Nothobranchius furzeri: one gene and its partner. The protein of the gene in region 2 interacts with the protein of the main gene of each other region in a pairwise test. Links are inferred from orthologs where the notes say so. Each region holds a gene or a part of one and is shown on either strand. Other genes may lie near its edges.

Evidence for each region.
Region 1: the proteins of sec23b (region 2) and prrc1 interact in binary tests that used the Homo sapiens proteins (3 or more experiments, as listed by UniProt). The two-hybrid records come from large-scale screens. The link is inferred for Nothobranchius furzeri from reciprocal best matches to the Homo sapiens genes SEC23B and PRRC1.

Annotation. Positions count from the first base shown.
Region 1 is NC_091746.1:34,220,480-34,224,747, reverse strand, and holds the start of prrc1 (protein PRRC1), read right to left. Parts: upstream 2,839-4,268; 5' UTR 2,736-2,838; intron 1-2,735. UniProt on the Homo sapiens protein: May act as a regulator of the protein kinase A (PKA) activity during embryonic development.
Region 2 is NC_091746.1:24,268,882-24,273,244, reverse strand, and holds the start of sec23b (protein transport protein Sec23B), read right to left. Parts: upstream 3,023-4,363; 5' UTR 2,869-3,022; intron 1,148-2,868; 5' UTR 1,141-1,147; coding exon 920-1,140; intron 358-919; coding exon 300-357; intron 193-299; coding exon 106-192; intron 1-105. UniProt on the Homo sapiens protein: Component of the coat protein complex II (COPII) which promotes the formation of transport vesicles from the endoplasmic reticulum (ER).

The DNA of each region.
Region 1 (4,268 bases), about 10 Mb from region 2:
CCACTACAGAAACAACAGTGAGTGGGCTGCAGAGGACTGGGGTAACATGAAGCTCTTTTCTGGTTGTTTAAGGCATCTGGAGAAAGGATGGTCTGCAGAAGATAAGGTGAGCACTCCCATCAGTCATCAATAAAGAAATGTACCAAAACATCCAACTGGAACTTCTTCCAACCATCCAAGAACAACCTGGTGAAGCATGATGGAGCACCGTGCCATAAAACTAAAGCGATGAAGCTAAAAACAGAAATTCCATGCTTACGTTCTTTTTTAAAAACACAGAACAGTTTTTGTTTACCTGTTTTCCCGCTACGTTTCGTCTGCGGCTGCAGACTTCCTCAGGCTGACGCTGATGGTGGCGTCACTTCCTTCTCCATTTATCCACGGGCAGCAGAGGATGTTGTCGCCCTCTGCTGCCCGCTCTCCCCTCTCCGACGATGCAGTCCCATGTGCGGTCCAACGTGTAAACCCCATCGTCTCTGTTCTTGGTCCCACATCCACGTCTCCTTATCTCGATTACTTCTTTTATCCATCTTTTGTATTTTTGTTGTTCGGTGTTAATGATCCGTGTGTTGTCCCAGTCCATTATATGGTTTTCTCTTGTGCAGTGATCTGTTACGGCTGACTTCTTTATTGTGCTTTCTGCTTCTTGTCTTGCTGCTCTTGTGTATCTTCGACTTGCCTCTTTCTCGCACTCCTTTCTATGTTCTATTGTTCTTGTGTTGAGTTGGCGTCCGGTTTCTCCTATGTATGTGTTATTGCAGAGTTTGCATGGGATTTCATAAACGACTCCACATTTAAGTCCAGCTGATATTTTGTCTTTTGGGTGTACCTGTCTGTTTCTAACTGTTGTGTATGGTTTTGTTGGTGTGTTTATGTTGTGTTTTTTCATTGTTGGTCTTACTTTTTCTGTTATGTCTTTGATGTATGGTAGGGTTACCACTGGTTTTGGTTGTTGTTTTTCTGGGTTTCTGGTTCTTTGCTTAGCTTGTTCTTTTCTTTCTGTTGTTGTTTGCTGTTTTCCTTTGTTTATCACCCATGTCGGGTATCCGCAGGTCTTTAAAGTGTGTTGTATGTGTTTGTCCTCTTGTTTACAGTCTCTTTCTTCTGTTATTATGTTTGCTCAGTGATATAATGTTCTGATTACTGACATTTTGTGTATGGTGGGGTGTTCTGATGTCCATAATAGATATTGGTCTGTGTGTGTTGGTTTCCTATATGTGTTTATATTTGGGGTCCCGTCGGTCTGCCTGGTGATTTTCATGTCCATAAATGCTATGCTGCCTTCTTTTTCTGTCTCATAAGTGAACATTATGCTGCCTGTGTCGTCAATGTTACTCAAGTGTTGTGTTAGTGTTTCGGTTTGTCCTTTTGGTATAATTTCCAGTATGTCGTCTACGTGGTGTTTCCATAGTTTTATTTAGCAGTTTGGGGGAGCAGTGGCTATGGCTTTTTGTTCTAGGTCTTCCATGAAAAACTCACACAGGGTGGCTGATAACGGGTTACCCATGGCAAAGCCTTCCTGTTGTTTGTATATTGTGTTGTCATATGTGAAGTAAGTGGAGTTAGCTACCAGTCCTATCAGTTGTGCTATGTCATCTGCTGTGAGGTTTGTTCTTTAGTGTAAAGTCTTGTCCTGTCTGACTCTGTTAACTACTATGTCAAAGGTTTTTTTGGTTGGTGTTTTTGTGAACAGGGATGTGACGTCACGTTAGATGAGTATGTCACAACGTATGACAACGTCCTCTGCTGCCCGCGGATAAACGGAGAAGTAAGTGACGCCATCATCAGCGTCAGCCTGAGGAAGTTTGCAGCCGCAAACGAAACGTAGCGGGAAAACAGGTAAACAAAACTGCTCTGTGTTTTAAAAAAGAAATACAGCATGGAATTAGAGATACGACACAGCAAGAACACACCTACAATGTTCAAATAAAAACAGAAATTTTGGGTCCATGACCAGGAAAATCCTCAGACCTTAATCCAGTTGAGAACTTGTGATCAACCCTCCAGAGGCAGGTGGACAAACAAAAACACACTAACTGTGACTAACTCCAGGCCCTGATTATGGAAGGAAAGGATCTGGTCCAGAAGCTGATTGAAAGCGTGTCAGGGCCAACTACAGAGGAAGAGCCAACACTGCAAACACCGACTCTTGAACTCTTAAACTAGATGTAATCAAAGCCTTTCAAAGTGTTAGTGATTATACTTCAATACATGACAGAAACAACTGACTAAAAGATGAAAAACACTGAAGCAGCTAACTCTGTGAAAACCACAATTCACACACACCAGAACCTTCTGCTTAACTGACTTAAATCCTCCACCATCACATCTATCTCCATGAGGATCACCACCAAGAACAGGGCCATCAGGACCACTACAGACAGCCACTCTTAATACCTTTAAATACGCATGACAGCTCAGATCACTTTGCTTTTGTTTCCTAGGGGCATAAACGAATTCCTCTATAGACTCCATGTTTTAATCTAAAGCTTTCTACAGACTACACAGATCGTGTAAATGTCTGATCTGGGTTTTTAATATGGAGACGAGTTCTAGAACCACCATCAGGAACGCATCGGTCCGAACCAGCACCATCAGGACCACTAGCACCCTGTCCACAGCAGAGGCTACACTGTGGCTTTACCCCACCAGCTCGTCTAACTGTCAGCATGGCGGAGAGCTGACACACTAACGTGTTCCTCTCTTCAACATCAGAACCCAGAACCAGAACTTACCAGCTATCTTTGTTCCACCATGTAGAGTCAACCACCGGCGCGTGATGGTGACGTTCTGCTTTGCCACGTCTGCTCTCCAGACTCCTCCTACTGACCCGCCAGTGGGAGGAGTCTGACCTGCGACTCCTTCACACGACGAAGACGGTGCCATGTTGGCCAGGTAAATTAATCAGCCCACCTACTGAATCAGCCTCACTAATTTGTTCATGTAATCTGCAAGGATAATTCAATCAAACGTTTGATCAATAACAAAGATTATTTATGGTATTTTATGTAACATCTGATTAAATGGAGGTGTAGATTTCTATTTGACATGATCGGCTTCTACTGTAAAATATAAACTGTCCCTCTATGGATATTTGGTTTGGACTAGCAAGTGTATTAAATACAACACGTTTAGTTTTGGAGAATGAGTTTCAAATAAATAAATTTAACAGGTTTTCTTACTCAGTCTAGGTTTCGAGAGACTTTAGGGTTCCAGAGAAAACAGGATATTTCTGGTTTTTTAAAGTTGCTTAAGGACAGAACAAACCGGTACAATGGGGGAAAAAAAAACACTCTTCGATATACAAAACAGATTTAATCCATGTTTCTGTGTATAATTACTCTGTTGTTGGTTTTACAGGAATATGTCATAAAGGTTACCTGTGTGGAGCAACAAGGTCAGATGATCTCACCCAATGACCCAGGAGGTCATTTTATGACTCAACATATAACCTGGTGATTGAACATTTCAGTTCACATTAAAACTTTATGTGATCGTGTCCTGAGAGAAACTGTACAGAGGAGCTCTTTTAGCGCTTCAGTTGGTCTGGAGTCTCTGACTAAAGCCCAGTTCACATTGTGCGTTTTGCAGCTATCATAGACAAATCTTTCCATGTAAATTGTATTATGACTAAAAAATAATGTCCATGAGAGTGATTTGTAAATCTATGGCCATCCAGTGTGACCGGCACACCGACAGCGATTGAGTACTCTCATGACTAAATCAAGCCTCCAATGCTCTTCAAGCATTTTCAGAAAACCTAAAACCCCTGCCTGCAATTGACAACCCCTAGCATGTCCTGTTAGCCCTCTCACTGTCCTAATGGGTGTGACCCCACGAGGAAAGCTGACCATTGAGCAGGGTGAGGAGGAGTGAGCACCCCTCACCCCTGCCATGTGGACCTAAAGGGATAAAACTTAAATCCTGCTCAATGATCAACTTTCCTCACAGGGTCTCCCATAAAGACAGTGGGAGGGTTAAAGTGAGACATCGTGCAGTTGGATTACTGTGTGAATGAGTTGAACTTACTGAAATCTTGGGCCATGTCAGTTGTTCCACCTCTGTAAAGCTGTGTGACATGAAGTAGTCATTTGCGATAGCTGAAAAACACAGTGTGATCTAGGCTTGACACAGAAACACTACATGGAAGAGGTCTTACTGACTGGACCTCAGATCTGGTTCAGACCTATTATTAACTTGCATCCTGTGTAATGGCAGTGGTGGAACAAGTAATTTATTTACTTTGCATATTTAAGTAAAAGTACAAA
Region 2 (4,363 bases):
AGAGTAAAGAAATAATCTAATCAGGACTTTTCTTCTTTGTGTTTGCGACTGTAGTACATGATGTGCTTGGGTGAGGTCAGAGTGCAGACACGCACAAGCCTTTACCTGAACTATGTACTCGATGGTGGAAAACTGTGGCATGAGTTCAGCTGGCTGGTTCACCTCCGATATGCCTGCATAAGAGGGCGGGAACTGCACAAACACAGACAAACGGAGCCGATTTAACCAGCCTAATAAAGGAAAGCAGATCCTCCGCATCAGCACTGATAAAGGTGGCGTTTCACACAGAAAACACTCACAGGGTTTCTCTGGAAGCAGAAGTTGCACGCCCAGATTTTAGCCCTGAAGTCCACCTGACTGGAAACAGAAAGAGAGACGTTTCATCGTCTGCTGCGATGTGGAAAAGGTGCGTCCTCATAATCCACACCCAGTACCTAAACTTCAGTATTCAAAAGAGCTAAAGTCTCGGCATCACCAGTTTTAGAAGAACTGAAAGATATAAAGATCATCTTTTTAAGGAGTTTAAAACAAGCACTTGGTGCCAAAAGACGTGTTGCATTATTTTGGAGGAAAGTTGGACCCGACAGCCGTTTTCTGCACTTCGCCTACAAAAGACTCCGTCTCCAGAACCTGTTTATTATAGATGTCACCTGAACTTACAGGAGGACCACAACAAAGACTAAAAATAGTTCCTAAACAGACATTTACAGTATGTGTGTGTATTATGGCAATGATGAATATTTGTGTCGATGTTGAGGCAGTTATACAACCATACATTATAGTTTGTTTGTGTTGTCCATTTAACGTTAACTATAAATAAAATCATTTGGGGGGAAAGCTGCAATATTCCTGCATGAAAAGCTAAATATGAAAGTAAATCTATGCTATTAATAGACACGTAAAACTCTGAGAAACTCACCACAGTGGGTTGAGCACAGCCTTGCAGGTGGCCCGGCTGCACAGAACCGGCTCATACTGAACAGGTGGCAGGTTGGGCCTCTCCTTAAGAGGCGTGAAGAGACAGGAGACGGGAACCACCAGCCTAGTGGCCTCCAGGCGGCTGGAGGGCCAAAGGTTCCAGCTGAACCTCACCCCATCTCGGTCCTCGTTTTGTTGGATGAACTCCTGGTACGTCGACATCACCGATCTTCAGCAGAGAAAAGGTTAAATAATAAATAAATAAATAAATAAAACCACAGTCCAGTTTGGAGTTTCTGTGTCCCAGATAACTGCTACGGTGCTGCGTCCCTCTTCAGGCTCTCTACTCTCTCTCTCTCCAACTAAAGCGAACATCCTCTCTTTATACATGTGAGCCGTTCACTTCAGTGGGAACGAAATACGCGGATGTCCGAAAGCCTGACGCACAAACACGCCGCCAGGAAACCCGCTCGGCTGGTTTTGGTGAGGAGGAAGAACGATGTAGAGAATTCCTAAAACAAATGAGTGGGTGTGCCGGGTGTATTTAATCGGGCTATGCTTGTGCCGGTATGTGCTCATTACACCTAAGTGACGCCTTTTGCAAAGCATCGCCAGGCAACTGCACAAACAGTTTAATCTCACTTCTGACGGGGGACACGGACCTTTTCTCCCCCTTTAAAAAAAGATGAATAAACAAAACTGAGGTGAGAAAAACTATTTATAGAATGGAATGTTTTAAATAGAATGGGAAAATGACAGCAGGAAGAAAATCAGCTGATAGTCATCTCTGATTTCCAATACCACTGAAGTTCCACGTTAGACGAGCCAAATTCTTCCTAAAAACAGATGGTTTGATCTTAAACTCCACATATTTCTGTCAAAACCTAAAAAATCTAATAAAAACATTGCATTTACACCAGGTTATGCATATATTATAACACAGAGTTCATTAAAATGTTACTGTAAACCTCATAAAGTCGGCAGCTAAAGGAAAATGACCTTTTGCCTGACACTCTGAAACTCAAAAATTTGGTTTAGTCGATTTTGTCCCTGAACACACCGTCCTAAAGCAGCAGCAAACAACATCCTCTCAGAGTTGATAGTGAAAAATACATTCTACTGAATGTAATCAATTTTTTGATCAATTAAGGCAGGATCAATTTTTTAATCAATTTCCCTCTGGGATTAGTAAAGTATTTTTGAATTGAATTTGAAATTGAATATGGGCTCAACAGTGACAGCTGCAGGTCAAAGGAAAACAAAATCAGAAAAGAGCATCTCAATTTCAAATACAATAAAAGCCCTGAAGCACAAATCAACATATCCAGAGCCCTTGGCGACTTATTTACGCTGCTTGTTAAGTTTAACCTAATATGTTACTGCACAAGCCCAAATGTCGCACTACAGAACACAGATAAACGCAGAGTTCATCAGAAAGCTGCGCTACAAAGGGTTCCTGACTGGGTTTTATAAAGACCATTTGGATTCGTTAACAGATGTTGGTCGATGCTATTGATGCTGCTGCAGAATGAAAACTGCTTTAATACCAATCCTAACCGCTGACCACTACTAACGTCATGAACAAACCTCTTATTTCTTAAAGGGGAACACAAAGGCCCCTGCTACAAGTCAGATCAAAAATCTGATGACTCTCGGGTCAACAACACAAACTAGGAGCCACGTATCAACCCCGATAAGCAGCAGTGCTGTTGGGACACGTCTCAAGTCACTCAAATGTCGCAATTCTCGTTAAATAGTATATTCCTCTTTTTAATATTCGCTAAAACATCGTAATTAATCACCCAAAGTCTCGCTTTAGCGACAAGGTAACGCCAGCGCGAGCATCGGGCTGAGTTAGCTAACGGAATGTAGCATTAACCCACTTCCTGTCCTCAAATGGAAGCTAAAAATGGGCGACCTACTTTCCCCTGAACTAAACCCAGCTCTTACCTTCTTATAAAGCGAGCTGGCTTCGGCACGAGACGGCGGCTAAAGAGACGGTTGTGTTTAGGATGAATTAGTGCATCTGAAGGTGAAACCAGACGGGCGTAAGTGGGAGGAAGACGTCGGTGAACGAGCTGCTCCCTGTCAGCCGGCTTTTCACTTTACTAGAGTGACGTGTTACTACGAGTTCAGGACTTTCCCATTGGCTCCGCCTTGCGTCACGTGACGCAAGCGTACAGTGAACGTCAGGCGGAACTAGGTGAGCGCGGACCTCTGGGAAATAGAGTTTATTGTGTTGTAAACGGCAAGGGAGCATAAAATATTCAGCCAGGGGTTTTCATCGTCTCTGTGAACAGTTTTGTACAGTTGGCCTGATAATAAGTCTGGTTTAATCTTTGTTTATTTTTATCTGCTTGTTTATTTGCTGACGGTGGTAATTGGCTTGTTGTAAATACCTGCAATAAAAGTAGAAATAGGCCTTGTCTCAAAAAGTTACAGGGTGTCTTTGATGGCTCTTAATGATAATAATAATAATAATAATAATAATAATAATAATAATAATAATAATAATACAAATGCTACTACTAATAATAATATTATTATCATAATTTGGGACTTTATGGTGTTGAAAGTGGACAGAGACTGCTTGCCAATACAGGCAAGCTAATCATGTCTTTTTCATAAAGCGTATTTATACACAGAGGAGTCTAAATGGGCTTTTCATGTGCAAAACATGTAAATTTAAAATCAGCAAAACTGTAAAAATTCACAACATAAACCGTAGCCTGGATTTAAAAATAAACTTGAGATTTCAAAAGAAAATACACTCTGCAAAGCCTTTATCAGGACACGTGTCAGTAGTTTGGATTCAGAAAAATTCAGTTGTAAATGTCAAATTCCAACAGCCATTAGTGAACGTTGATCCCAGTTATTTTCCATTTTTAACTTGATTTTCGCTGTCCGTGGTGCTGACGTCAGAGTGTCCTACAAAGACAAGCCTGTGAAATGTGGGCAAGTTGGACAACTTTTGATTTAGACAAATATTATTAAGTGTAGAATTAATTTTATTTTGCAGCTGAGTAAGACTAGTTGGAATAGGCTGACACATCTTGGCAGTCCATGACATTTTCTTTATTGTTTTATTTCCCAGAAAATATTCCAATATTCACAATGGATTCGTGGGAATGAAACATAACGTTGGGTGGCGCTGTGACAGAGCTCTTTGCTTATTGGGAGGCAAACCTCTGGAGGGAGAGAGCAGGCAGAGAGGAGGAGAGAGCGGGAGTGCTGCTTCCTCTCGGTGTGTTTCTGTTTGAGCCCAGAAGAATCTCCTCTCTGCTTCTCCTCTAAGCGCCAGCTGTGCTTCTGCTGGAGGACCCCACACTTGGATTTGGATTCAGAGTCTGGACCAGGACCACACCTTGCACCCGGCAGCACTCAGCCTCTCGTGCTCTGAGGATGATGCAGTGAGCAGAGTCCAGCATCTTCCGGTCTGCCTGTG